Linked DNA regions of Macaca mulatta. Each later gene encodes a partner of the first gene's protein in a complex. Links are inferred from orthologs where the notes say so. Each region holds a gene or a part of one and is shown in the gene's direction. Other genes may lie near its edges. The genes, in order: TUBGCP6, TUBG2, MZT1, NME7, TUBGCP3, TUBGCP4 and TUBGCP5.

Region 1 (4,124 bases):
TGTGGCTGAACATCGGGGGCAAGGAGGCAGCCGCCCTATCCATGTTCCATGTTGCCACGCCACTGCCAGTGGTGAGTGACCACGCCCCGCAGCAAGGCAGGTGCTGGGGAGCCCATGGATGTGTGCCGCTGCTGCTTGCTGGCATGTCATGATAGCAGGCCTCTGGTCCTTCCTGTCTCCCTGCTCCTGCTCCAGGGGTCCTGAGATTGAGAGGTTGGGGGGCCAGAGCCAGCAGGTGTCTGTAGATGAGGAGCTGGGCTCTGCTGTCCCCACAGATGACTGGTGGCTTCCTGAGCTGCATCTTGGGCTTGGTACTGCCCCTGGCCTATGGCTTCCAGCCTGACCTGGTGCTAGTGGCGCTAGGGCCTGGCCATGGCCTGCAGGGCCCCCACGCTGCACTCCTGGCTGCCATGCTTCGGGGACTGGCAGGGGGCCGAGTCCTGGCCCTCCTGGAGGAGGTAAGCTGGGCAGGGTGGAGGTGCTGTGGGGTGGGATGAGGGGAAGGACCAATGACTGCTTCCGTCTTCGCCCCTGGCCCAGGACTCCACACCCCAGCTAGCAGGGATCCTGGCCCGGGTGCTGCGTGGAGAGGCACCTCCTAGCCTAGGCCCTTCCTCTGTGGCCTCCCCGGAGGACGTCCAGGCTCTGATGTACCTGAGAGGGCAGCTGGAGCCTCAGTGGAAGATGCTGCAGGTGAGGCTGATTGCGGAGGCATGGCTCTGCCCTGGGGCCCGGCTCTGCCGCAGAGGTCGGTGGGGAGGGCAGGGCAAGTGAGTGCTGAGAACCAGCTCCAGTGCAGGAGGCCAGCTGCGCGCCTCCTCCCGGCTCCTCCTCCTGTAGTGCCGTCCTCACCTGGTGGTTTGAAATCGGCCAAGGTGGGTGCATTTACGCCGCAGAAATGACACCGCACGCCAGCGCCTCGCTGCCGCGATCCGGACCCCAAGCCCGCGGCTCCCACGACTCCGGGGCACGGAACCCCGCCCCCTCCCACCCCCGTCCCCTCCCACCCGTGCTTCCCCCGCTCCACCCCTCACTTCGCCTCGCCCCGCCCCACCCATCGCGCCCTGGCCCGTCCCATCCGAGCCCATGCAACCCACCCTCGGTCCCGTTCCGGCCCCTGCGCCCCGTTGCCCTTCCCTCCCCGCCCTTGCGCCGTTAGTAAACATGGGTCAAACGAAACCCTGGTTTTGCCTCCTTTACTGAACACGCTGGCCTCGATCTCTCAACCGCTGTGCGGGACTCAGGCCGGAAGTGCGCCGCGGCCCGGGTCTCACTTTCACGCGCAGCCGGCGTTCCCGTGACGTATTTCCGGCGCGCCCGCCCTAGCGCTCTTCACGCTCGCGCTGCTGTGACGCGACGGAGGCGGCGGGAGCGGGAGCGGTGGGCTTTTTCCACAGGTGACGCCTGGAGAACGGGTGGACGTGCAGGCCGGGAACCACCCGGCTGCGCCCCCACACTCTCCGCTGCCCACGAGTCTCGGAGTGGCACCCTCTCCTGGTCGTCTCCTCTCGTGGGGCCCGAAGAACGGGGCAAAGCCGAGTTCGTGCGCTGTACTGCGCGGGCGCGCGTTTCGTTCTTCGGGTTTGCCATGGTTCTGTGACTCCCTAAAGGTTGAGGGCTACTGAATTGGAAGAAACGCCAAGCTGGCTTCTGGGGGGCTGCCGGGCGCCGGGCAGCGTGCTTGGGCTGGGGAGGGCAGGGCGTGTTTACTCTGAGTAGAGCAACCGCAAAACCTCCTTTAGAAAATACCCGTTCTGAGCTGCGGCGTTGGAGAGGCCGCCTGTCGTTCAGCCCCTTCAGACCCTCTCTCACTCCGTCTTCCGGAGCGTGAGTGAAGCCCGGGTGAGGTGTTTTCCCACACGCCGGGGGCCCGGAGCTGAGAAGGGGCATGGCCAGCATCACGCAGCTGTTCGACGACCTGTGTGAGGCCCTCCTGCCGGCTGCCAAGACTCACCTGGGCCAGCGCAGTGTGAACCGGAAGAGGGCAAAGCGGAGCCTCAAGAAGGTGGCCTACAATGCGCTTTTCACAAATCTTTTTCAAGATGAGACTCAACAGCTGCAGCCTGACATGTCAAAACTACCAGCGAGAAACAAGATCCTCATGTTGTCCTTTGACTTGAGAGTGGGTGGCCTGGGCCTCGAGGCCGACCGTCTGGAGGAGCTTGTGGAGGAGCTTGAAGCAGCCCCTTGCTGTCCGCTTTTGGAGGTGGGGTCTGTTTTGGACCTCCTGGTTCAGCTGGCAGGGAGTGGTCCCCCTCAACTTCTGCCGAGAAATCGAGACTACTTCCTTAACAACAAGCACGTGGGGAGAAACGTTCCGTATAGCGGCTATGATTGCGACCACCTGAGTGTGTTTGAGACGGACGTTCAGTCTCTGATCTCCAGAGAAGAGTGTTTGTGTCACAGCATGATCCAGGAAACACTTCAGGTTATGGAGGCTGCTCCAGGCACCGGCCTGCCCACCGTCGGGCTCTTCTCATTTGGTGACTCTTGTGGTGACAGGTTTGAGAGAGACACCCGGGTCTCGCTCTTCGGGGCCCTTGTGCACAGCCGCACTGACGACATGGACGTCCGACTGGGCCTGCCCCCCGTGCCAGACAATGCAGACCTCTCTGGGCTGGCCATTAAGGTAGAATGTTTGGTTTTTCCTCTTTCACCTTTCTTGGGGTTTGGAAAATGCTTTCTGTGACTTTCTTTTTTTTTTTTTTTTTTTTTTTTTTTTTTTTCAGACAGGGTCTCTGTCACTCAGGCTGGAGTGCAGTGGCGTGATCTTGGCTCACTGCAACCTCCACCTCCTGGGCTCAAGCAATTCTCGTACCTCAGCCTCCCGAGTAGCTGGAATTACAGTCACCTGCCTCCACGCCCGGCTAATTTTTTTTTTTTGGAGATGGAGTCTCGCTCTGTTGCCCAGGCTGGAGTGCAGTGGTGTGATCTCGGCTCACTGTAACCTCCACCTCCCAGGGTCAAGTAGTTCTCCTCCCTCAGCCTCTTGCATAGCTGGGATTACAGGCGTGAGCCACCACGCCCAACTAATTTTTGTATTTTTAGTAGAGACGGGGTTTCACCATGTTGGCCAGGCTGGTCTCCAACTCCTGACCTCAGTTGATCCACCCACCTCGGCCTCCCAAAGTGCTGGAATTAAGGTCACTGCGCCTGGCCCAGTGACCTTCCTTTTATCCTGGTAAAAGGGGGGATAGTCTGGTGGCTGCATTGTGGGGTGGGGCTACTGGAGTGGACTTACTGGCGGCCACCCTGCTCTGCAAGGACAGTGCTGCCCACCTGCCGGCCAAAGCAACGTGCTGCTTTTCATCTTTACCTAACGGGGCATGTCATTAAGCCTCCTCTGCCTTCTAGAGCTGCCATTTAAATTTAAGTTAATTAAAACAAAATAAAAAATTCAGTTCCTCAGCCCCACAAGCCACATTTCAAGTGCTCAGTAGCCACGTGTGGCAAAAGTGTTCACGTTTTGTGATACGTGCAATTGGATATGCTTTTGCTGTCTGTTGCCTGAGGCTTTCCAACATGGTCCCGTGTAGCTCCTCATTTGAGTTTTGTATTTTCTTGCTTTATCAGTGTTGCCCAAAGGATACATTGTTACTAGTCATTCTATTCCTGTGAGATAGCTAGACAATTTATAAACATACCTAATGCTACAGCAAATGTCTTGGTGTACAGCAGTTTTGTGTTTTGTTTTTGAGACAAGTCTCGCTCTATTGCCCAGGCTGGAGTGCGATGGTGTGGTCTCGGCTCACTGCAACCTCCATCTCCTGGGTTCAAGTGATTCTCCTGCCTCAGCCTCCTGAGTATCTGGGACTCCAGGCGTGTGTCACCATACCCAGCTAATTTTTATATTTTTTTGTATTTGTATTTTTTTAAATTTGATTTGATTTTTTTTTTTTTTTTTTTTTGAGACAGAGCCTTGCTCTGTTGCCCAGGCTGGAGTGCGGTGGCACGATCTTGGCTCACTGCAAGCTCCGCCTCCCAAGTTCACGCCATTCTCCCACCTCAGCCTCCCGAGTAGCTGGGACTACAGGCGCCCGCCACCACGCCTGGCTAATTTTTTGTGTTTTTAGTAGAGACGGGGTTTCACTGTGTTAGCCAGGATGGTCTCAATCTCCTGAGCT
Region 2 (2,397 bases), on another chromosome or scaffold:
CTCTCTGTGGTCTCCCCAGAGCCAAGCACAGTGTATGGCACATGTGGGTACTCACGGGTTTGTTTACTGCCCTGCGTAGTCTGAGAGTATCTCATGATGCCCCAGAAACAGTACTTTTCTTTCTGTTATTTTTTATGTATATTTTTTACAGAGATGGCATCTTGCTGTGTTGCTTAGGCTGGTGTCCAACTCCCGGCCTCAAGTGATCCTCCCACATTGGCCTCCCAAACGGCAGGGATTACAGGCATGAGCCACCACGTCCAGCAGTACTTTTTTTTAAACTAACAAACCTACTTCTTGGCTTTGGAGTTCAGCAGGGGCTAAGCCAATATCTTATTTCTATGCCCATTTTATCCTCAAGATGCTGTGACCCTCTTCTGTCCCCGTAGGTGGTGCTGGACAACACAGCCCTGAACCGGATTGCCACAGACCGCCTGCACATCCAGAACCCGTCCTTCTCCCAGATCAACCAGCTGGTGGGCCCCCACTCCTGGACTCCTTTGGACTGGAAGCCCTCCTTGCTGGAGGGTCATCTGGGGAAGGAAAGTCCCAACCAGGCCGAGGCCCATGACATGGCACGCCTGTCCCCAGGTGTCCACCATCATGTCTGCCAGCACCACCACTCTGCGCTACCCCGGCTACATGAACAATGACCTCATCGGCCTCATCGCCTCGCTCATTCCCACCCCACGGCTCCACTTCCTCATGACCGGCTACACACCGCTCACTACGGACCAATCAGTAAGAGCAGCCTTCAGTGTCCCAGGCCAGGCCGGCCCTGGGCCCAGCAGGCCCTGCCCTAGCCTTTCTGTCTTCCCCACTGCCCCAGGAGCTGCCCTTTGCGGGCCCCGAGGCACTGTGCTCAGGGACTTTCTTGCTGACTTGCGCTCTACCCTCCCTCTGCCTTTGGCTTCTGCCAAGGAGAAGCCAAAGGGGGACTCTGCCCTGAGCGCTGGCCGGGTTCCTGTCTCACTGTCCCATCAGGTGGCCAGCGTGAGGAAGACCACGGTCCTGGATGTGATGAGGCGGCTGCTGCAGCCCAAGAACGTGATGGTGTCCACAGGCCGAGACCGCCAGACCAACCACTGCTACATCGCCATCCTCAACATCATCCAGGGAGAGGTGGACCCCACCCAGGTAGGGGAGGCCCCTTCATCCCGCACCCTGGACCCGCAGGGGTAGAGGAGAGGCCACCTCCACTGCTCGTGTGCCCACCCCAGGTCCACAAGAGCCTGCAGAGGATTCGGGAACGGAAGTTGGCCAACTTCATCCCGTGGGGCCCCGCCAGCATCCAAGTGGCCCTATCGAGGAAGTCTCCCTACCTGCCCTCGGCCCACCGGGTCAGTGGGCTCATGATGGCCAACCACACCAGCATCTCCTCGGTGAGTCTAGGTTTCTGTTCTTCTCAGGAAGAGTCTGTTCCACTGGCTACCTTCATCATCTTCCCCAAGTTCACTCCTAACCCCCTGGCTCGCATTTTGGAGATTTTCATCTCTTTCAGCTCTTTGAAAGTTCCTGCCAGCAGTTCGACAAGCTGCGGAAGCGGGATGCCTTCCTTGAGCAGTTCCGTAAGGAGGACATGTTCAAGGACAACTTTGATGAGATGGACAGGTCTAGGGAGGTTGTTCAGGAGCTCATTGATGAGTACCATGCAGCCACCCAGCCAGACTACATTTCCTGGGGCACCCAGGAGCAGTGATTTCCCTCCCCACTACTCCTGGATGGGAAGCACAGCCTCGACCATGCCTGCTCCCTCTGACCCAACTTCACCTCATGGACAACCCTTCTTGGTTCATCTCCAGCCCATGAGCTTCCTCCTGCTTCCTCCCTTCCATGCCCTAACTCTTGATATGCTTGTTCAGCTTTAATAAAGTAATAAAGCTTGGTTGTCAGTATAGCCAGGGCTTGATCTGTGAATACAGGGGGTGGTGAAGGGGTCCAGTTTCTAGGCCTCTGACAGTAGGGTGGCTTTCACGTCCTCCAACGTCTTACCACTAAGTCCAAATCTTAGTGTGTTCACTGTTTCCACTGGCATCCCTCACCTTGAACTAAGCTGTTTTACTAGAGTCAGCCCTTGTCTCAAGATTACAGAGCTTTACTGAGGTTTGCTGTCTCCTCAGTGCCTAAGGTTTGCCCCAGTGAGGGTCAATGTTGCCCCAACCTCTTCCACTCAAGGCAGAGGAGGTGGGGTCTACCGAAGGAGGGCACGCTACATTACGAGCAGGCCAGAAGAGCCGAGACTCCAGATTCCCAGTGCCCAGGGCCATGAGAGTTCCAGGAACTCAATCCAGTTCAACCTAACCTGATTAGTAGAAACAGAATTCAAGAGTAGGGCTGAGCACATCCTGAGTTACTTTTCTGTGCCAGAGAAATTCATGGGTTTGTTATCTGCCCCAA
Region 3 (4,164 bases), on another chromosome or scaffold:
AATAATCACTAGGACTTTCAAAAGGATTTAAAACAGGGATCCTTCCTGGAGTTTCTGGTGTTATTTGCATTTTAGATTCCTTGACATCTCCCATAGCACAGAGAGAAAACTAAAGAGAAATCAAGAGTACATATGTTAAAATTACAAAGTCCCATAGATATTAATTTTACCTATTAAAATGTATTCGACAAATGTGTCACAAAAACAACTCAAAACCTAACACTCTTGGGGCTATGATACAGCTTATGAAAAAAGTATCACATATAAATGTTCTCAACTGATCCTCGAAATAACCTTGAAAGCTATAGCAGTAAGTTATTAGTGATATTATTCTGTGAAAGAATTAACAAGCTCAGAGAAGTGAAGTGGCTTATACGCAGCAATCAAATATGAATTCAGATCTAAAGGTTACAACAGGCACAAATCTCTTCTCAACTAAAGGACTTATAGCTACAATTTTTTTAAAATTCATCATCTCACGTCTCAACACTATGAACATTCTTCGGATACCCCATCCAACTACAGTTGCTATTAAACAATTCTTTGTAGCAAGCAGGTAAGAGATGCAGAAGCTTGTGCCTTTCTTACACATGAGTCCTAGCCAGAGAAGTATGATTGACAGGGGCTAGGAAATTAACTGCCTTGAATCCCCTTTCCTCCAAAAATCCTCCTTTCGCCAAGACCTCCCCCTCACCCCTCCCAGGATAGAAAGCGACTCTGCATTATTTCCAATCAAAGGAGGCTACAACTTGGCGGGGTGGGGTGGAGAAGAGTCTACTTCTGTAAGGTTGAGATGCAGCCGGCTTCCTCGGACGGAGCGCCGAGGAGGCGTCGCCCCCCACCCTACGTGGCCACTCTTTCTGGTGCCCCTGTCTTCCACACCTACTCCCTGACTGCTCCCATTCACCAGGGGCCAGCGGGCAGGCAAGTCAGGAGCTGGGAAAAGAAACCTCTCCATTCGGACAGGAGGAAAGGTCAGGGACCATAAAAAACCTACCTACCGGTGCGTAGAAAACGAAGCCCCCAATACCGACTACAGGGAGCTCCCGGGGGCCAAGCCAGCTTCCACGTCAGGCACAGACTCTTTAACTCCCCGCTTCCGCGCTGTCTTGGGCCAACCAGGGCACGGGGCTTGTGAGCGACTGGCCAATCGCGTCGTCCCGCCATCCGCGAACCAACCAATTGCACGGAGGCCGCGTAGAAAATTCGAATAGCAACTCCTGGCTCCACGTTCCGCGCAGAGGAACGAGGCTCCAAATTCAAATCAACGCAGCCTCACGCCGGCGGCGAGCGCGAGGGGCGGAGCCTGCCCGGCGTGAGCGGAGACGCGCCGTGTGATTGCCCGGGAGAGAGGAAGGCGCTCCAGTTCCGGGTCAGGCCCTTCTCCCGCCTCCCTCGGCCTTAGCCATGGCGAGTAGCAGCGGCGCTGGGGGGGCGGCGGCGGCCGCGGCGGCGAATCTGAATGCGGTGCGGGAGACCATGGACGGTGAGTGTCAGTTGCGCTCCTTTTACGTTGCCTGCCTTCCCAGAGCCAAGGCCCCCAGGCGGAGCTGAGCCTGGGGAGGACTTCAGGTCCCCTTCGTGCCCCAAACGGCATCTTCGAAGATCTTTGGAAGGGACCTGCCAGGGCCGCAGGACTGATGGCCCTATCCCTTGAGAGTTGTCTCCGCCGCTGCGTAGTTTGTCGCGCGCGCCAGACGTTGCGGCCCCCTAGTCAGCCGGTTGCGCACCGCGTCCTTCTCGCGCGAATGCCGCGCCCCTTCTATCCCGCGTCCCAGGTCCGCCCTACCCGCCCGATCTCCTGCGGTGACAGCGCCACGCCCACCCCACCCAGTACACCCGTTCCCTCCTGCGCGCCGCGTCCCACCGGATTCCCGCGCAGGGCGCTTCGGGGGTCCCCAAGGTTGGGATCCCCAAGGTTGGGATCCTGGCGGGGACAGGGGCCAGGTGTTTGGTCACCGCTATGCCTCGTGTTCTTCGCACTTAAGTAGGCGGCCTTTAATATCCTGCGAATGATTAAGTTCCCCCCTTCGTCAGAATTATCCTAGTTTCCTCTTGAAGCGGGTGACGCCAGTGCCCAAGTGCTATGGGTGTCGCCTGTTTTCGGCCCTGGAGCCTACACAAGCTCTGGAGCCTACACAAGCGTTGCAGAACACGAAATTAGTGTCTTGCCGATTACCTTCTCTCTACTCTCTAATGCCACTTTATAACCCTGTGGTGAGCTTGGACTAGATACTTAAACATTGAGCCTGTTTGTTTAAAATAAAATCCTGCCTCCAAGAGTTGTGAATATTTAAATAAGACAACCATGTAAAAATATATCAAAGATGATCAATTATTTTTATATTATTTCCGATGTCATCTCTCTTGTAGTCTCCTTTGTCTCCTTTTTACTCACATCCACCTGTATTATGAGTGTTTGATCGATGTTAAATGTCATTTGCAGTGGGCCTAGACGTTTTCCAGAGGCTACTTAAGTCAGCTTCCCTCTCTGTTAAAAGATAACCCTATGAAATTCTAACTCCTGTATCTCTTTCTCCTTCACTGTAGGCTTTTTTTTTTTTTTTTTTTTTTGAGATGGAGTCATGCTGTGGTTGCCCAGGCTGGAGTGCAGTGGCGCAACCTCAGCTCACTGCAACCTCCGCCTCCTGTGTTCAGGCAACTCTTCCCACCCTCAGCCTCCAGAGTAGCTGGTATTACAGGTGCCCGCTACCACACCTGGCTAATTTTTTTTTTATTTTTAGTAGAGACGGAGTTTCGCCATGTTGGCCAGGTTGGTCTCGAACTCTTGACTTCAGGTGATCCACCCACCTGGGCTCCCAAAGTGCTAGGATTACAGGTGTGAGCCACCACACCCGGCCTCATTTTCTTACATAGCCCCTGCAGAAGGGCTGCTGGCTTTTTCTGCACTGGCTGCTCGTTCCTTTTTCAAAGAATTAACATTTTTAGAGACTTTGCATCTAATTTTTCACTTGTTCAGTATCTACCTTGCTGTTTTTCTGAGAATGTTAATATTCAGCCTATTTTTCTATCCTTTTCGATGTATCAACACTTACTAGTTTTATTTTGTAAGTGAATTTATGCATGTGTATGTGTGTGTGTGTGTGTGTGTGTGTGTCTGTGTGTATAAAAATTTACTATCTTGTATGTTTCCTTGGAAAAAGGTAGAGTAAAAGACCTCACTTCTAGCCTGTTTTCTTATGTTAGCTGTACTTAGGTTCCTTATGTATATGGTCGTAGGATCCTATTTGAATAGAAAACTCACATTTTCTCTCTGGTGGAACCACTGATGTACAATTGAGAACTGATGATTTGTGTTGGCTACATCATCAAGATCTTTTCTGAGAAAACCTGGTGTAAAATGAAGATTATAGAGAGAATAAGAGCATGAAAAAGTGAAGTAAAACAAAAAATGAAGGAGAGGGGATGTGGTGTTTCACAGTATTTAAATCAACCCATGAGATCAAAAGTGAAATTTTCAAAACTTTGAGTACCATTTCTCCTCTCAATGGCAGGATTTGTGAACCCCCCCTTTAAGTCATATGAATTGCAGAACTCTTGGCTACATTTGCATTTTGATCATGAAATGGAAGGATTTTGTTAAAGACATGGGAGGCAGCAGGCTGACTTTGTATTAATCAGTTATCTGTGTAGCTCACTCTGAAAAGAACTATCCCTGCCTATTTAGAATACGGTCTGCATGAGATCTTTGCTTTCATCCTTATATCCTTAAAATTCTGCATTCTCTTAAAATAGTCGTGCCTTTTCAACAACACCCCCCGCCCAACCCACTGTGTATGGTTGCCTCCTTTGCTTTTCAGTTTTTTGATATGTTAGGTATTCTCTGTTGATTGCTTTATACTTTAATTTTTGTTTTCCTCTCAAATCATCCTATGCATCTGAATTTTAATTTTGATAGTTATTCCTTACGAGAGTCTTTATCATAACACTTACTTTTTTTTTTGAGACTGAGTCTGGCTGGAGTGTAGTGGCGTGATCTTGGCTTACTGCAACCTCTGCCTCCCAGGTTCAAGCTGGGGATAGGACCCAATTCTCCTGCCTCAGTCTCTGGAGTAACTGGGATTATAGGCGCCCGCCACCATGCCTGGCTAATTTTTGTATTTTTAGTAGACACAGGGTTTCACCATGTTGGCCAGGCTGGTC
Region 4 (3,500 bases), on another chromosome or scaffold:
TAAAAAGAATCCCCAAATTTACCCTAACCAGAGCATCAGATGGCAAATCCAGAATTAGCAATAAAACTCCTAGATTCCCTTCTTCCCTATGCTTTTATTTGCTTATTATAATGAAGGGCCTTTGGGGCGAGGGTATTTTTACTAACATATATAATGGGAAATCCTGCTCGATAGTCAAGGGAAAAGGACCCATCTTTGACTTATTTTTTTTCATTTTTTGCTCTCTGTGGTAGCCCTAAGAATGTACTTCACAGACCTCCAACTACAGGCAACCTAAATGACCAAGGGTCCCAGCTGCTGTTCTCTGAAATCCACTGCTGCTTTTGTGCTGAGCACTTGTTTCCCAAAGGCTGCTCCCAGCCAGTGATTGAGAGGAACAGGGATACTAAAGCTGGCCCCTCCGTGTCCTTGGGAGTCACCTGGCTCTAGCACTTCCTGATGGGCTTACTGAACCTTCCTTAGAGGGTGTAGCAATCTGGGATGATTCTACTTAACCTTGCTTGCACCTCTCCACCACTCTGTGTCAAACTTGCATTGTTTTTTGTCAGCTTTTCTAGTCTTCCTTGGCTCCCTCCTCATTTTATATTACAGGAATTTTCCTTAATGAAATTCTTGCATGTTCAGTCTTGTCTTCACATTTATTTTCAGAGGTCCTAGACTAACACATTCTCTATTTCTATAAAAAGATACTATCATATGTAATTACTAAGGAAAAAAGATGTTTACTATAATTTTAATGGTAATATTCTGATACTACTAGATTCTCAAATTTAGGGAAGTCAAAACTTCATATAATTGAGAGCTATCCTCAGAAATGTATGCTTATATTAATTTATTGATAGTCTCTATGTAAACTTGCTTTCAGAAGGACTGAATTGCTACCACAGTAAAATCAGGAGCTCATGTTCTCAGAAAATGTTAATTTACTCAGGATGATTAGATGGCTATAAAGTAATAAGCAATCCATAAGTCATCTCTGAGATATGAGAAATTAAAAGGAAATATTTCTGAGGGTGTGTTGATAACTGATATTTTGTTGAAAAGCAGAAAAATTCAATACAATAGGTAGGAGTAAGTTTGTTTTTTGCAAATTGGTAATTCTTGCTTTCATTTTGTGTGACTTACAGGAGAGTGCTTGTTCTTTATATGTTAGTGTTAAAATTCTTCTGTCTTTCTTTGCAGAGTCATAGTGAAAGATTCGTTTTCATTGCAGAGTGGTATGATCCAAATGCTTCACTTCTTCGACGTTATGAGCTTTTATTTTACCCAGGGGATGGATCTGTTGAAATGGTAAATAAGTCTTTCTTTGCTTGAATGTCGGCAAAGGGGGTGAACATGGGAACCATTGCCTTTTATATAATTGCTTTTTAAAAACACATTTATATGTGTGTGTGTGTGTGTATATATATGGAAATTCTTTTTAAAGATATTCATTATAATTTCAATATAAGAAGTTAACTTGTGCCTTTACTTTTAATGTCAAAGATAGGAAATTTTTTTTGTTGTTGTTAGAAGACTGAAGTGGGGGTCGGGCACGGTGACTCATGCCTGTAATCCCAGCACTTTGGGAGGCTGAGGTGGGCGGATTACTTGAGGTCAGGAGTTCGAGACTAGCCTGACCAACATGGTGAAAACCTGTCTTTACTAAAAATACACAAAATTAGCCGGGTGTGGTGGTACATGCCTGTCATCCCACCTACTCGGGAGGCTGAGGCAGGAGAATGGCTTGAACTCAGGAGGTGGAGGTTGCAGTGAGCTGAGATCATGCCACCGCACTCCAGCCTGGGGGACAGAATGAGCCTCTATCTCAAAAAAAAAAAAAAAAAGAAAAGAAAAAAAAAAGACTGAAATGGGATTATTCATGTTTTGGATAAGAAATAACCAATAAGTGATTATAGATAAGGATTATTATGGTCATAAATATGTCCTCATTATTGAAAGCTGTTACTGCTACAAAAAGTCAAATTGAGAGGATCAAGCTAAGAGGCTTCTGTTTATTTCTTTGTGTTTCTTCATTGGCAACACAATTTTAACAAGTGGATCTTTTTGGTATTGGGATTTTGTGTACACAAAAAAGCAGAAATTTGGGTGTATGACTCTTTCTTTAGCATTTTGTAAGGACTACTGAAATGATTTGGTAATAAACAGATCTTTCTATTCAGGGTTTTAAGAGTATTAAATGTGTAATAAAAAGCTTTTATGTTATTACCAGATTGGATTCAGAAATATGGAAGTAATTAAAAATTATGATTTATATTTGTAACAAAAAAGAAACAGAATATAACTTATCTTTGATAAGACAGAATTAAGAATTATTTCTACCTTATGATAAGATTAACTTTCCTTATTCATAAATTTTGTTTGTTTGTTTGTTATATTCTTGTGTCTGGTTCTAGCATGATGTAAAGAATCATCGCACCTTTTTAAAGCGGACCAAATATGATAGCCTGCACTTGGAAGATTTATTTATAGGCAACAAAGTGAATGTCTTTTCTCGACAATTGGTATTAATTGACTATGGGGATCAATATACAGCTCGCCAGCTGGGCAGTAGGAAAGAAAAGTAAGAAAACAATTATATAATCTTTTTACATTTTGTAACTTTGGGTTCAAAGTCAATCTGAATCAAGACTGGGAGTATTTAACCATATGAGGATGGATAGGACCTGGAAAATGGTTGTCTTCATTCTGTCTTTTTCTTTTTTTCAATTAAAAAAAATTGATAATATCATAGTTGTACATGTCTCATCTGACTTAATTCATATTTATGTCTCCTATGCAACTTAGTACATCTCAGAGATACAGTCATCTGTAAAAGGGGCTAAGAAAAAAACGGAAGTGAGAAAGAACAACTTGTAGATACAGCTGAAAATTAGACTTATAGAAAACAAGGACTTCTGATGTTTTCCTTCTGAATATTGATTTTCAGTATTTTCAAGATGACTTTTTAACTTTTAAATTCTCTACATTTATGAATTTCAACTTTCTGAGATTAGAATTAATTATATTTGAAATGAAAATTTAAGTCCTTTGTCATCTCTTTTGGATCTAATTTCTGTAGCTTATATTTTGTATGGTTTGGGGACTTTTTTTTTTTTAACTGTAGAGTGATTGGTGCTATAATTAAAATAGGGATTATTTGTAGAAGTTAAGGCTATATGTATAAAAGGTTCCAAAAATGATTTAATTCAATAGGAAAAACAAATCAGTCACACTATTTTTTGAGATCTGCTACTCAAATGACTAGTTGATTGCCTAACATCTGAGTCACTCTCATAGTAATGAGATATCTCTTTCTGTGACTTCCATAGTCTTTCTGTATAAGCACTTTATGGTTCTTGAGGTGATTGGATTCTCAGTGTGGGTGTTAGTACACAAAGGGTGATGGATCAGAGGGGTGGTGAATGCCTCGTAACAAAGGAAGACCAAACACTTTCTTTGAAATAGGATAAAAATTACAGGTATTAGATAAATAAACAGGAATCTTTTAATGTTGTGGG
Region 5 (3,500 bases), on another chromosome or scaffold:
ATGATTTTGCAGGTACTATGGAAATTACAGAAGCAGCTCTGGTAAGGGACATTTTGTACGTCTTTCAGGGCATAGACGGCAAAAATATCAAAATGAACAACACTGAAAATTGTTACAAAGTAGAAGGAAAGGTACGGTCACATAAAATCTAATTTAAAATATTCAGAAAGAAAAAAAATGTCATGAAGTCCAGATAGTGAGCTGTTGATTGATAAGGTGGTACTGGGATTTTGCGAATCGAGTGTGAGGTGGAATTCCACTGTGGAATCCTGGTTTCTATTTCTGTCCATTGTGCTCGTTCAGTTTTATTATGGGGACCCTTTGTGATTAATGTGTGCCTCCTTTCCTCGCATCTACTGATGGGGCCGCCCCATAGCTGATTTCTGCATCCTGCTGTGTGATGGCTGAGGCATCCAGGGGACAGAGGTCCCTTGGCGCCTTCAGCATTGATGCAGGATTCCAGGTCAGGGGTCTTCACCCACTTTTGCTTCCTTTTTCCATAACCTGCCTTTACCATGCCCATTTCTTGTGGTGTGAGTCACACTGGGGCTTTTAGCCCTTTCACAGCGTAACTGAGATCACAGACCATCTCTGCCACACCGCAGGTCAACTGCAGGGTGGTGTGAAGGGAGCTCATGGTGCCCTTTGAGGTGCTTTCCATCACGCTGTCACTTGATGTGCTTTCCTTCCTTTTAGTGATGGGATCTTAGTTTTAACTTTTATGTCTTGAAGCCTAAGGATTATAATATTAAAAGCGTAAGTGTTTGAGAAAAATACTAGTTAAAACTCTGGTATTGACTTTTAATGTTTAACATATGATGTATTTACCTTTTAGGCAAATCTAAGTAGGTCTTTGAGAGACACAGCAGTCAGGCTCTCTGAGTTGGGATGGTTGCATAATAAAATCAGAAGATACACGGACCAGAGGAGCCTGGACCGCTCATTCGGACTCGTTGGGCAGGTGTGTTCATGGTTCCTAGGATGCTGGGATGCCGCGTACTTTGGGAAACGCTTATTCTAGTTGAAATCTTACTGAGAAATAGCTCCTCCTACGGCTCTTTCCAAGTAAAGCAACTTTGAGAGTCAATTGTCAGGGTCCACTCAAGAAAGTAGAAACCACAGTAGGTGCTGATGAGGACATTGAATGCAGCAGGTTGGCTCAGGAGCTGCTGGAGGACTGTAAACCACAGAGAAAATGGTGAGACAGAGCTGGCCATGGGGAGCTGGCATTGCCCGATTCCAAACGCTCAAGGGGGGCCCTGCCCAGCTGCTGCTGCCTCCTCCGGAAGGTGGAGGAGGGGCCCTGCTGGGATGGGGCCTGCTAACAGGGGACACTCCCAGCTGCGTGACTCCCCAGGCAGCACGGTGAGGCAGGATTTGGGAACACTGCTGAAGCTGGAGATGGGAATCCGGCTATGGCTGTCTGGACAGCCCTGGGTGGGCACTGCCGGTGGCACAGTGCATGGCTGGGAGGGAGCTGCTGCTGCTTCTCCTCCTGGTGGAGCCTGACAGGGGGCAGCCGACAGGAGCTGTGGCATCTCCACTGTCCAGCCCTTCTTCGTGGCTAAGCAGCATGTGGTCTTGTCCATAGGTTGCTTATTGGACAGTAATTACTGTCAATGAAATCTCCAAAAATTACTGACTCACAAAATAACTGTGTACTATAAGCCCAGCATAGCACAGGACTCATGGCAGTGTAGCTGGTGAGTAGGAGTGTGGCTAGGGGGTAGGAATGTGACTGGTGGGTAGGAGTGTGGTGCTGCAGTGTGGCTGGTGGGCAGGAACATGACCGGTGGATAAGAATGTGGTTGGTGAGTAGACACGTGGTGTGGCAGTGTGGCTAGTGGGTAAGAACATAGCTGTTGATTAGGCGTGTAGTGTGGAAGTGTGGCTGGTGGGGAGGAGCATGGCTGGTGGGTAAGAATGTGGCTGGTGAGTAGGAGCACGGCCAGTGGGTGGGAATGTGGCTGGCGAGTGGGAGTGTGGGTGCTGGGTAAGAATGTGTGGCTGGTGAGTAGACGAGTAGTGTGGCAGTGTGGCTGGTGAGTAGGAGCCTGGGCGGTAGGTGGGAGCCTGACTGGTGTGTAAGAATGTGGCTGGTGGGAAGGAGTGTGGCTGGTGGGAAGGAGCATGGCTGATGGGGAAGAACGTGACTGGTGGGGAGGAGCATGGCTGGTGGATGGGAGTGTGGCTGGTGGGGAGGAGCGTGGCTGGTGGGTGGGAGTGTGGCTGGTGGGGAAGAGCATGAGCATGGCTGGTGGGGAGGAGCGTGGCTGGTGGGTGGGAGTGTGGCTGGTGGGTGGGAGTGTGGCTGGTGGGGAGAGCGTGGCTGGTGGGTAGGAGTGTGGCTGGTGGGGAGGAGGATGAGCATGGCTGGTGGGGAGGAGCGTGGCTGGTGGGGAGGAGCATGAGCATGGCTGGTGGGGAAGAGTGTAGCTGGTGGGTAGGAGCATGAGCATGGCTGGTGGGGAAGAGTGTAGCTGGTGGGTGGGAGTGTGGCTGGTGGGGAGGTGCGTGGCTGGTGGGGAAGAACGTGGTGGGTGAGTAGGCCTGTGGTGTGGCAGTGTGGCTGGCGGGGAGGAGCGTGGCTGGTGGGTGAGAACGTGGTGGGTGAGTAGGCCTGTGGTGTGGCAGTGTGGCTGGTGGGGAGGAGCGTGGCTGGTGGGGAGGAGCGTGCCTAGTGGATAGGAGTGTGCTGTGGCAGCATGGCTGCTGAGTAGGAGTCACACTTTGAGCTTTGAAGCAAGGCAGCCCAGGGTTCCAGTTTGGACTTCTCCTTTAATGGTCACGTCATCTTGCACAGGTTATCTTCTGTTGGCCACAAGTTTCGTCCTGCGTAGAGTGGAGTAGTGATTACCTCCAGATTGTGAAGATGGGGAGAGAATGCGTATAAAGATGCTGCTCCCCAGGCTAGGACTGTTTTCTATTCTGTTTCCCAGTCTAGTGAGTTGCTCGATGACCAGCCACCATTCTCCTTCATTGCAAAGGCAGAGAGAAGTGAGCTGGCTCTTTCTTGAGGCAGGTGGGACTGATGGGCCATCCCCTCAGCAGCCAGCTGTGATTTTAGAGTCCCTGTCCCCTTTATCGAAGGGAGTGTTTGATCGTGTCTCGGTTTATATCATCATCTTATGCAAGTGTCACTGATAAGTCCTAGTTAACTTGGTAGACATGAAGCAAGACACACACACAAAATCAATACAAGATAACGAAATAAACCGTTATGTAGATACTTTATTACAGGAGGTGGATTGATCATCACTATAGTAGTATCATATTATGTGTTAGAGCAGGGGTCCCAGCTCCTGAGCTGTGGACCGGTACTGGTTCGTGGCCTGTTAGGAACTGAGCCGCACAGCAGGAGGTGAGTGGAGGGTGAGCAGGCGTGACCGCCCGAGCTCTGCCTCCTGTCAGATCAGTGACGGCGTTAGTTTCATAGGACGTGAACCCTGTTGTGAACCGTGCATTCGAGGGATCTAGGTTGTGTGCTTCTTATGAGAATC
Region 6 (3,500 bases), on another chromosome or scaffold:
GGCTATGCCTAGTTCAGTGAAGTGTCCACCCCTTGACCAACTGATGGCCATTTCCATTCATACTGCATGAATAGAGTTGAGTAAAGATCCAAAAAAAGAAATGTGAGAAAATACATACACACAGGCTGATCATTTTTCTAACTCAGTAAAACCATAGATGTCCACTGTACTTACATAGTACAAATATAAGTACTTGTGGTTGCAAATATCAGAAAATCCAATTCAAACTCACTTAAGCAAAGCAAAAGGAAAGAAATAATGTATCGATTCTCATAACTGTAAAGCTCAGACGTATGATGGTTTTCGGCAAAGTTTGATCCAGTGACGCGGGTGGCACCTTTAGGACTTGGTCTCTTTCCATCTTTCACCTCTTTCTTCTCAGACAGGCCTGCTCTGTATGGTAGCAGATAGTCTCTAGCCAAGTTTACATCCTACTAAGCCCCTGTTTATCTTGAAAAAAGAGCTGGATTCTTTTAGAGTCTGAATAGAGCCTCTGGATTGGCCTGGCTTGGTCATGTTAATATCCCTAAACAATATAGCATAACAGAGTAGAGTATTACGTTCTATTTGATCATGCCTACATCACCCAGCTACCCCTAGAATCGGGTGTTGTCTAGCACTAACCCACTGGAAATATGTGAACTGTACTGAATAGGGATGATTCTCCAAGGAAAATCAGGAGGCAGTTTGTCAGCAAGAAGAGAAGAATGGATGGATGTTAGACAAATGCAACAGATGTCCACTGTGCCCTGCTGTTAGCACTGGGCATGTTGGGGGAGAAGTGGAAAGCTGGAGGAGTCTGGGTTTGTTACGGAGCCAAGCATCCTTGTCAGCCCCCGTGTTCTTTCTTGCAGATGTGAATGTGGCCTTTCAACAGTCAGCACACAAGGTTTTGCTAGATGATGACAACCTTCTCCCTCTGTTGCACTTGACAATTGAGTATCACGGAAAGGAGCACAAAGGTTTGCTGTTCCTCCCTGTCACCTTAGAGTTCCTGCTGGTCATCCATTTTCCCATCTCTGCTTCCATCCCCCACCATAGAAACCATATGATTTTGGATCTTAGAAATCAGGTAATGCAGTACTATAATTCTATAGAGAAGAAAAGGAAAGTCCAGAAGTCCATAGAGGCTAAGCGCGATGCCCAGGCCATGTTTTTGGGGGGTTGGGTTTTTTTTTGTCATGCTGCTGGAATGGTCCCTGTTTATTTCCAGCCCCCAGATTTTTTTTTTTTTTTTTTTTTTTTGAGACGGAGTCTTGCTGTGTTGCCCAGGCTGGAGTGCAGTGGCCGGATCTCAGCTCATTGCAAGCTCCGCCTCCCGGGTTTTTACGCCATTCTCCTGCCTCAGCCTCCCGAGTAGCTGGGACTACAGGCGCCCACCACCTCGCCCGGCTAGTTTTTTGTATTTTTTAGTAGAGACGGGGTTTCACCGTGTTAGCCAGGATGGTCTTGAACTCCTGACGTCGTGATCCGCCCGTCTCGGCCTCCCAAAGTGCTGGGATTACAGGCTTGAGCCACCGCGCCCGGCCCAGCCCCCAGATTTTAAGGCTGAGGAAAGAATCTCTAGAAGACCTCCCAAGAGAACCTCACGTAAAAGTGTCCTTGCCCTCTTCTTTGTGTCCGCTGTAAGCTTCTAACATCGCAGACTCCAGTGAGCTCTGTTTCTTTTCTTTTGGAGACGGAGTCTCATTCTGTTGCCCAGGCTGGAGTTCTGTGGCACAATCTTGGCTCACTACAACCTCTGCCTTCCAGGTTCAAATAATTCTCATGCCTCAGCCCCCTGAGTAGCTGGGACTACAGCCACCACGCCCAGCTAATTTTTGTATTTTTAGTAGAGACAGGGTTTCACTGTATTGCCCAGGCTGGTCTTGAACTCCTGTGAGCTCTAGTTTCATTAATGTTATTCACTTGTTGAATCTCTGGTTCTAGATTAACCAAGTTGTTATCTTTTCTTTTTTTCTTTTCTTTTCTTTATCACAGCAGATGCTACTCAGGCAAGAGAAGGGCCTTCTCGGGAAACTTCTCCCCGGGAAGCCCCTGCATCTGGCTGGGCAGCCCTAGGTCTTTCCTACAAAGTACAGTGGCCACTACATATTCTCTTCACCCCAGCTGTCCTGGAAAAGTGAGTATTTCTGAGTGTCTCACAGGTAAATAACGACCCACCTTACTTGTAAGGGAAGAAACTAGCAGGACAGAATTAGCAAGGTGTGGTGGCACATGCCTGAAATCCCAGCTACTCCAGAGCCTGAGGCAGGAGGATCCCTTAAACCGAGGATTTCAAATCCATCCTAGGCAGCGTAGTGAGACTCCATCTCGTAAAAAAAAAAAAAGAATTAATGGGAGCAAGATAGCCACCCAAGTAGTTTTTAACAATATGTAAATCAAAAGTTGTCAACCCCTCCAGGGACTAGACTGATCACATTCATAAGTGGAGCTGCAGATACGAGACACGGAGTGGTGGGTGTTAGAATCAATGGAGAGCATATCTACTTCAAACCATCGTTTTTTTAAATTGCCAAATCAGCAGCAGTTTGTAGGCCGCCAGTTTGTGAGCTCTGGAAAATAAGGTCTCAGGCACCATGTCGAGATAATGGCCCTTGATAATTCCATCACACCTGACAAGGTCTCTCCCTCACTTTTGTAATATTTTTTGTTGATTGACTTGGGAAAGTCCTCCAGCCTGCATGTTTGCTGTGGATGTTAGCCCCTGGGGAGAAGACTGCCTCTGTAAGGGAGAGCCGACAGGGGCAGCCAAGCTTGGGGGTGGAACAAAGGAGCTGACCAAGCTGGAGTCTCCTGCTGTCAGGTCAGCCTCGCTCTTTATCATGAGAGCCTGCCAAGTGCTGTTGCTTGCCTTGGTCAGGACCTAATGTCCCCAAACCAGAGATCTACAGAAAAGAGGTAAGAAGCAAATGTGGCTGGTGGTCACACCGTATCTAGGAACTTCCCAAACCCAACTACTGGTCAGAGAACTGGCCCCTGGCCTGGATGGAGGATTGAAGCTGTCATACTCTGTGAAGCCAGAGGAATGAAGAAAAGGGAAACAAAAAGGCCATCTCTTCTTCTAGCCGCCACTCTTGATCCTTCCTATTCTTCTTCCTAGCCCTCTCTACTTGTTTCAGGTAGAGAAGCTTAGGGTAAAATAGACTGGGCATAAACTGGAAAAGATGAGGCTGGTTCAGGAAGAAGATTCTATGGCAAATTCAGAGCCCACGGCCCAGCTAAGCAAGTGGCATGGACCCTGTGCAAAGAACTTCCAAAGATCCTTAGCTCCCAGAATCCTACAGGCCCACAGTCCGCTTACCTCCTAACTTGATATGCTCTCAACACCCTTGAAGAAATCAAGTTTAGATGTATTTTTTCATTTTCATTATAAAAATTTCTAAATATAAACAAAAGTATAGACCATAACAAAATCGTGTGTCCTCATTATTCACCTTCAGTAACCATCAACATTATACTACTATTATCTGTCCCTCCCCCACGTTTTTGTTAGAGCT
Region 7 (4,001 bases), on another chromosome or scaffold:
CAACACAATAAATGTCTTATAAAATAAACTCACAGCTAGTATTATACTAAATGGGAAAAAAACTGAAAGCCTTTTCTCTGATCTGGAACAAAACAAGGATACTCATTTTCACCACTTATTCAACATAGTACTCAAAGTTTTAACCAGAGCAATTGGACCACAGAAAGAAACAAAAAGCATGCATATTAGAAAGAAAGTCAAACTGTCGTTGTTTGTAGATGATGTGACTTTATATTTAAACAAACCCAAAGATTCGTCCAAAAAACTGTTAGCACTTATAAATGAATTCAGTAAAGTTTCAGGACACCGCCGGGTGCGGTGGCTCATGCCTGTAATCCCAACACTTTGGGAGGCTGAGGTGGATGGATCACTTGAGGTCAGGAGTTGAGACCAGCCTGGCCAACATGGCGAAACCCCGTCCCTACTAAAAAATTCAAAAATTAGCCTGGCGTGGTGGCACACGCCATTTGTGGTTATGAAGTCCCCCAGAACCTCTGGCCAGGTGTGGTTGTGAAGTCCTCCCAGCACCTCTGGCCAGGTGTGGTTGTGATGTCCCCCAAGCAGCTCTGGCCAAGTGGGGTTATGAAGTCCCCATTCCCAGTACCTTCGGCCAGGTGGGGTTATGAAGTCCCCCCAACCGCCCCTGAGGAGCAGGCGGAGTAAAAGCGAGCCGGGACTGCTAGCCGGTCGGGACCGCTGCTTCGCTGATGCTGGTTGTGTAGCACGGATGTGCGTAGCGTGATTGTGTTGTGTGGATGGGGGCACTGAGATCCGCGGGGACCATCACTGCAAGGAGAAGCTGCATGGCCGGGAGAGTTCAGCAGCTGAGCGGGTCAGGGTTCCTGGAAAGGCAGGTCCCAACGCATTTCCCGACCGGGCACCTAACGGGCTGCTCTCAAAAGCACTGACTATCACCGAGGCTGGCCAGAGACCCTTAAGTATCTAATTCACGATGACACCAACTAACTCTGAGTACAGTAGAAAATGTACAGTCGGGCGACCAGAATATGCACACTCGAGCCGCCACCATGGGACTGCTCCAGGCAGTACCCACCACAGCAGGAGCTCGAACTGTCGCGAGAATAACTGCCAGCTTGCTAGTTGCCCGGCACGGGAAGGCGAACTCTCGCGAGAAGGCCGCCAGCTTCGGGGGCAACTGCCGCGGGACCTCGAACTCTCGCGCGACAGCAACCAATTCGTTAGAAGCGCGTTGCAGGCGCGCGAAACATGGCGCGGCACGGGCCGCCGTTGAGCTGGCTGGACGCGCAGCAGGAGCGCGACGTGCGGGAGCTCGTCCGGGGTGTCGCCGGCCTCCCGGACGAAGCAGACCCCAACTTCCAGCTCGCCCTAAACTTCGCCTGGTCCAACTTCAGGTGTGGGGCGCGGCGCGCGAGCGGGTCCCGGGACACAGCCCGGAGCCCGCGCGTGGGTCCGGCGCAGCCCGGGGTCGGGGTGCGCTGGGGCGGGGCATGGGGCTGAGGCGGACGCGGTCTCAGAGAGCCCTCGCAGGCCCTGCCGCCGCCCACTCCCCCCGGCCAGCGCCCTCGGCGCGGTGCTCTGCGCACCCCACGGTGTGTTACCTGGAACGCGTCCTGATCGTCACGGGGGGAAGCGCGGAACTGGGTTTCTTGCCACCGGGGCGCGCTCCTGCAACCCAGCGCTCTGGGAGGCCGCAGGCGGGACTCGAGGCCAGCCTGGGCAACGTAGCAACTCCATCTCTATAATTTTTTATTTTATTTTATTTTATTTTAATTAAAGAGATTGTATTCTCACTGACTCCTGCTCCCTGGTCAGCCCAGTGTAAGGTCTCTCTCACCCTGCTCTCCTTTTTACAAAACGCGTGTCATGACATTGATTTTACCTGTTATGACTGTCTCCTCCGCTTCCACTCCAACTAGAATGCTGCATCTCTGCACAGCGCCTGACAACGTAGCAGGCTTAGTCAGCTAATGCAATTTCTAATGCAGTTTCTCTTGTAACTAGTTTTTAAAGACTTACAGAATTTAGATGTATACGTGGAGTGAGATCTATTTTTCTTTATGGGAGAGGGAAATTAAACAATACTTTTATAGTCATTACCCATAATGAAATTACTAAGAGAATGTTAATGTTAATATTCTACCTGTTTAATTTCAGTAAAAATCTTGAATAATGAACAGTTTTTTAAAATCCGTAATTTTAGTTACTTTAATGATCATAGTCATAAAGTGTCTAGTTGGCTTATAATAGGAATACGGGGCTTTCATATTCTTTTAAAGCATGCCGAGTTTCCGAAGTAATAAACTGAATTCTTAAATGTGACTTACAAAAATAAACAATGTGTGAAATAGGTTATACAACACAAAAACTTAAATGCTGAAATTCAAGTTTTTTTTACTAATATTTCTAAATGACAGTAGGCAGATGGTCATCATTTTAGAGGTGGGAGAGACATTAGAGGTTACTGTTTCCATTCACAGGTTTCAGGAACTAAATTATAATAGGTAAAGTGGTGTACCATTCACCCATTTACTGGACTAGATTCATGTGTTTCTCAGTATTGTAATTTTTTTCTTTTAAGTACAGATTGCTGGCTTTGATACTAAAAAATGGGAAACAATTTTTGCATAGGCTATGTTATATACATATACATTAGTTGCATAGGCTATGCTATAATTTTATGATGCTTTAAACCATCAGAAAAATGAATAGTTCATGTTTACATTGTTGAAAATTGTGGCCATTGGCCGGGCGCGGTGGCTCAAGCCTGTAATCCCAGCACTTTGGGAGGCCGAGACGGGCGGATCACGAGGTCAGGAGATCGAGACCATCCTGGCTAACACGGTGAAACCCCGTCTCTACTACAAAATACAAAAAAACTAGCCGGGCGAGGTGGCGGGCGCCTGTAGTCCCAGCTACTCGGGAGGCTGAGGCAGGAGAATGGCGTGAACCCGGGAGGCGGAGCTTGCAGTGAGCTGAGATCCGGCCACTGCACTCCAGCCTGGGCGACAGAGCGAGACTCCGTCTCAAAAAAAAAAAAAAAAAAAAAAAAAATTGTGGCCATTTAGAATTCTAGGCCCTAGAAATTCAAAGATGAGTAAGATATAGCCTCTGTCTTTAAAAAAAGACAGAGATAAAAGGGATTTTAACCTTGGGATCTGGAGATATAATTCAGATATTTGTTAATTTGGATGAGGAAAAAATTATACTAATCTCTAACTGAAAAGTAGCATCTCCTTCCATTATAAATGAAGGCAGCAAACCATAGTAGTATTAGCCTACCTGTGACTTTATCGCCAGTAGAATTCACATACTGTTTTCACATCAGAGTTGTAGATATTTGTAAATGTTGTTTACTGTTACTTTAATGGTAGTTATTGTACCTACTGCTAAATCTTGTTATTTAATACTTTCATAAATAACATTTCTTGCCATATCATAAACTTCTTGAAATATTTGACAACTGTACCCCAGTATAATTGGATTCCTTTGTATTTCGTTTTTGGCATTTAAAAACATTATTCAGAGAAGGGATCCTTAGGCTTCAGTGGGCCTCACTATAGCATAAAAAGATTGGGACCACCTGATGTAGAATGTGTTCAGCTGGATTTAGATACAGGGTCTTATGGGAAGACAGAGGAGCCAGAGCCAAGGTTGGGAGGGTCAGGAAGCACCTGTGTGCTGGAGAACGGTTGCTTGCACAGTCTCGGACATGGTGATTATTTGCCTGTCTTGGTGGAGGTAACTGAAGACAAGGTACACTCCATTCTGGAAGTGTGTAGCTGAGTACAGAGCATATGGGGGATGTGGAGGGCCATGAGATGAGTTCACTTACCTGTGTGACAGAGTTGGCATAAGAATTGCATTTTGTCTTTATTAGATTTCATCGTTTCTTGGATGTGAACAGCCACAAAATAGAAAAAACAATAGAAGGGTAAGTCAGTGTATGTATGTACACATCCTAAAATACATGTATTTTCTTATAGATCTTTTTAAGATAGCTTTATAATCATTGTTTTTAT

Evidence for each region.
Region 2: TUBGCP6 (region 1) and TUBG2 share a complex: the UniProt entries of both Homo sapiens proteins name them as parts of the gamma-tubulin ring complex. The link is inferred for Macaca mulatta from reciprocal best matches to the Homo sapiens genes TUBGCP6 and TUBG2.
Region 3: the proteins of TUBGCP6 (region 1) and MZT1 are in contact, whole or in part, in a crystal structure (PDB 6M33), measured with the Homo sapiens proteins. The link is inferred for Macaca mulatta from reciprocal best matches to the Homo sapiens genes TUBGCP6 and MZT1. Residues at the interface, in NP_065194.3 of Homo sapiens: Met1, Ala2, Ile4, Leu7, Phe8, Asp10, Leu11, Cys12, Ala14, Leu15, Pro17, Ala33, Leu37, Val40, Ala41, Ala44, Leu45, Asn48, Ile70, Leu73, Lys85, Arg88, Leu89, Leu92, Val93, Glu95, Leu96, Leu104, Leu105, Ser109; in NP_001065243.1 of Homo sapiens: Asn17, Ala20, Val21, Thr24, Val27, Leu28, Glu30, Ile31, Ser32, Ile34, Leu35, Asn36, Thr37, Leu39, Glu42, Thr43, Leu44, Ile46, Cys47, Arg49, Leu50, Cys51, Glu52, Gln53, Ile55, Asn56, Pro57, Glu58, Ala59, Leu60.
Region 4: TUBGCP6 (region 1) and NME7 share a complex: the UniProt entries of both Homo sapiens proteins name them as parts of the gamma-tubulin ring complex. The link is inferred for Macaca mulatta from reciprocal best matches to the Homo sapiens genes TUBGCP6 and NME7.
Region 5: the proteins of TUBGCP6 (region 1) and TUBGCP3 are in contact, whole or in part, in a cryo-EM structure (PDB 6X0U), measured with the Homo sapiens proteins. The link is inferred for Macaca mulatta from reciprocal best matches to the Homo sapiens genes TUBGCP6 and TUBGCP3. Residues at the interface, in NP_065194.3 of Homo sapiens: Pro65, Arg67, Asn68, Leu71, Met72, Ser74, Phe75, Asp76, Arg78, Asp87, Glu90, Asp151; in NP_006313.1 of Homo sapiens: Pro9, Asn10, Val11, Leu13, Gln14, Glu25, Ala26, Ala29, Gln30, Phe32, Gln33, Val36, Arg37, Ile39, Gly40, Ser41, Phe43, Thr129.
Region 6: the proteins of TUBGCP6 (region 1) and TUBGCP4 are in contact, whole or in part, in a cryo-EM structure (PDB 7QJE), measured with the Homo sapiens proteins. The link is inferred for Macaca mulatta from reciprocal best matches to the Homo sapiens genes TUBGCP6 and TUBGCP4. Residues at the interface, in NP_065194.3 of Homo sapiens: Leu312, Thr313, Ala315, Gly316, Arg317, Ala319, Phe320, Phe323, Leu326, His327, Glu349, Pro390, Glu391, Ser392, Ser395, Leu396, Glu399, Tyr403, Ser455, Leu456, Leu457, Thr458, Gly460, Phe461, Lys464, Lys465, Arg468, Arg471, Tyr472, Glu475; in NP_001273343.1 of Homo sapiens: Met1, Ile2, His3, Glu4, Leu6, Leu7, Ser10, Gly11, Tyr12, Pro13, Gly14, Ser15, Ile16, Gln29, Phe31, Pro32, Phe33, Leu34, His35, Pro36, Glu38, Thr56, Ile59, Glu60, Thr63, Val66, Gln67, Gln68, Ile84, Arg87.
Region 7: the proteins of TUBGCP6 (region 1) and TUBGCP5 are in contact, whole or in part, in a cryo-EM structure (PDB 7QJE), measured with the Homo sapiens proteins. The link is inferred for Macaca mulatta from reciprocal best matches to the Homo sapiens genes TUBGCP6 and TUBGCP5. Residues at the interface, in NP_065194.3 of Homo sapiens: Glu290, Ala291, Ser292, Lys293, Arg294, Arg295, Cys296, Trp297, Glu298, Arg299, Val300, Gly301, Cys302, Pro303, Pro304, His306, Arg307, Glu308, Glu309, Pro310, Tyr311, Leu312, Glu314, Lys322, Arg325, Leu326; in NP_443135.3 of Homo sapiens: Asp211, Asp212, Arg213, Trp215, Leu216, His219, Val220, Val221, His222, Trp225, Ser230, Phe232, Pro233, His234, Leu238, His239, Ser240, Asn241, Leu242, Leu264, Val265, Thr266, Glu267, Thr268, Gln269, Arg272, Val302, Thr303, His304, Leu305.

What each region holds. Positions count from the first base shown.
Region 1 is NC_133415.1:1,202,569-1,206,692, forward strand, and holds the start of TUBGCP6 (gamma-tubulin complex component 6), read left to right. Parts: upstream 1-1,324; 5' UTR 1,325-1,888; coding exon 1,889-2,629; intron 2,630-4,124. Other genes in the region: polyamine deacetylase HDAC10, read left to right, coding at 1-71, 276-458, 541-693, 876-902. UniProt on the Homo sapiens protein: Component of the gamma-tubulin ring complex (gTuRC) which mediates microtubule nucleation.
Region 2 is NC_133421.1:67,018,198-67,020,594, forward strand, and holds the end of TUBG2 (tubulin gamma-2 chain), read left to right. Parts: intron 1-389; coding exon 390-476; intron 477-591; coding exon 592-741; coding exon of another isoform or gene 742-750; intron 751-984; coding exon 985-1,137; intron 1,138-1,220; coding exon 1,221-1,382; intron 1,383-1,501; coding exon 1,502-1,699; 3' UTR 1,700-1,897; downstream 1,898-2,397. UniProt on the Homo sapiens protein: Tubulin is the major constituent of microtubules, protein filaments consisting of alpha- and beta-tubulin heterodimers. Gamma-tubulin is a key component of the gamma-tubulin ring complex (gTuRC) which mediates microtubule nucleation.
Region 3 is NC_133422.1:67,480,684-67,484,847, reverse strand, and holds the start of MZT1 (mitotic-spindle organizing protein 1), read left to right. Parts: upstream 1-1,364; 5' UTR 1,365-1,407; coding exon 1,408-1,486; intron 1,487-4,164. Other genes in the region: BORA (protein aurora borealis), read right to left, coding at 1-94. UniProt on the Homo sapiens protein: Required for the recruitment and the assembly of the gamma-tubulin ring complex (gTuRC) at the centrosome.
Region 4 is NC_133406.1:26,835,409-26,838,908, reverse strand, and holds part of NME7 (nucleoside diphosphate kinase homolog 7), read left to right. Parts: intron 1-1,182; coding exon 1,183-1,290; intron 1,291-2,396; coding exon 2,397-2,563; intron 2,564-3,500. UniProt on the Homo sapiens protein: Possesses an intrinsic kinase activity. Displays 3'-5' exonuclease activity with a preference for single-stranded DNA. Does not seem to have nucleoside diphosphate kinase activity.
Region 5 is NC_133422.1:106,822,195-106,825,694, reverse strand, and holds part of TUBGCP3 (gamma-tubulin complex component 3), read left to right. Parts: intron 1-12; coding exon 13-131; intron 132-835; coding exon 836-961; intron 962-3,500. UniProt on the Homo sapiens protein: Component of the gamma-tubulin ring complex (gTuRC) which mediates microtubule nucleation.
Region 6 is NC_133412.1:20,780,586-20,784,085, forward strand, and holds part of TUBGCP4 (gamma-tubulin complex component 4), read left to right. Parts: intron 1-854; coding exon 855-962; intron 963-1,980; coding exon 1,981-2,122; intron 2,123-3,500. UniProt on the Homo sapiens protein: Component of the gamma-tubulin ring complex (gTuRC) which mediates microtubule nucleation.
Region 7 is NC_133412.1:1,315,522-1,319,522, forward strand, and holds the start of TUBGCP5 (gamma-tubulin complex component 5), read left to right. Parts: upstream 1-1,201; 5' UTR 1,202-1,227; coding exon 1,228-1,373; intron 1,374-1,580; exon of another isoform or gene 1,581-1,708; intron 1,709-1,781; exon of another isoform or gene 1,782-1,800; intron 1,801-3,859; coding exon 3,860-3,913; intron 3,914-4,001. UniProt on the Homo sapiens protein: Component of the gamma-tubulin ring complex (gTuRC) which mediates microtubule nucleation.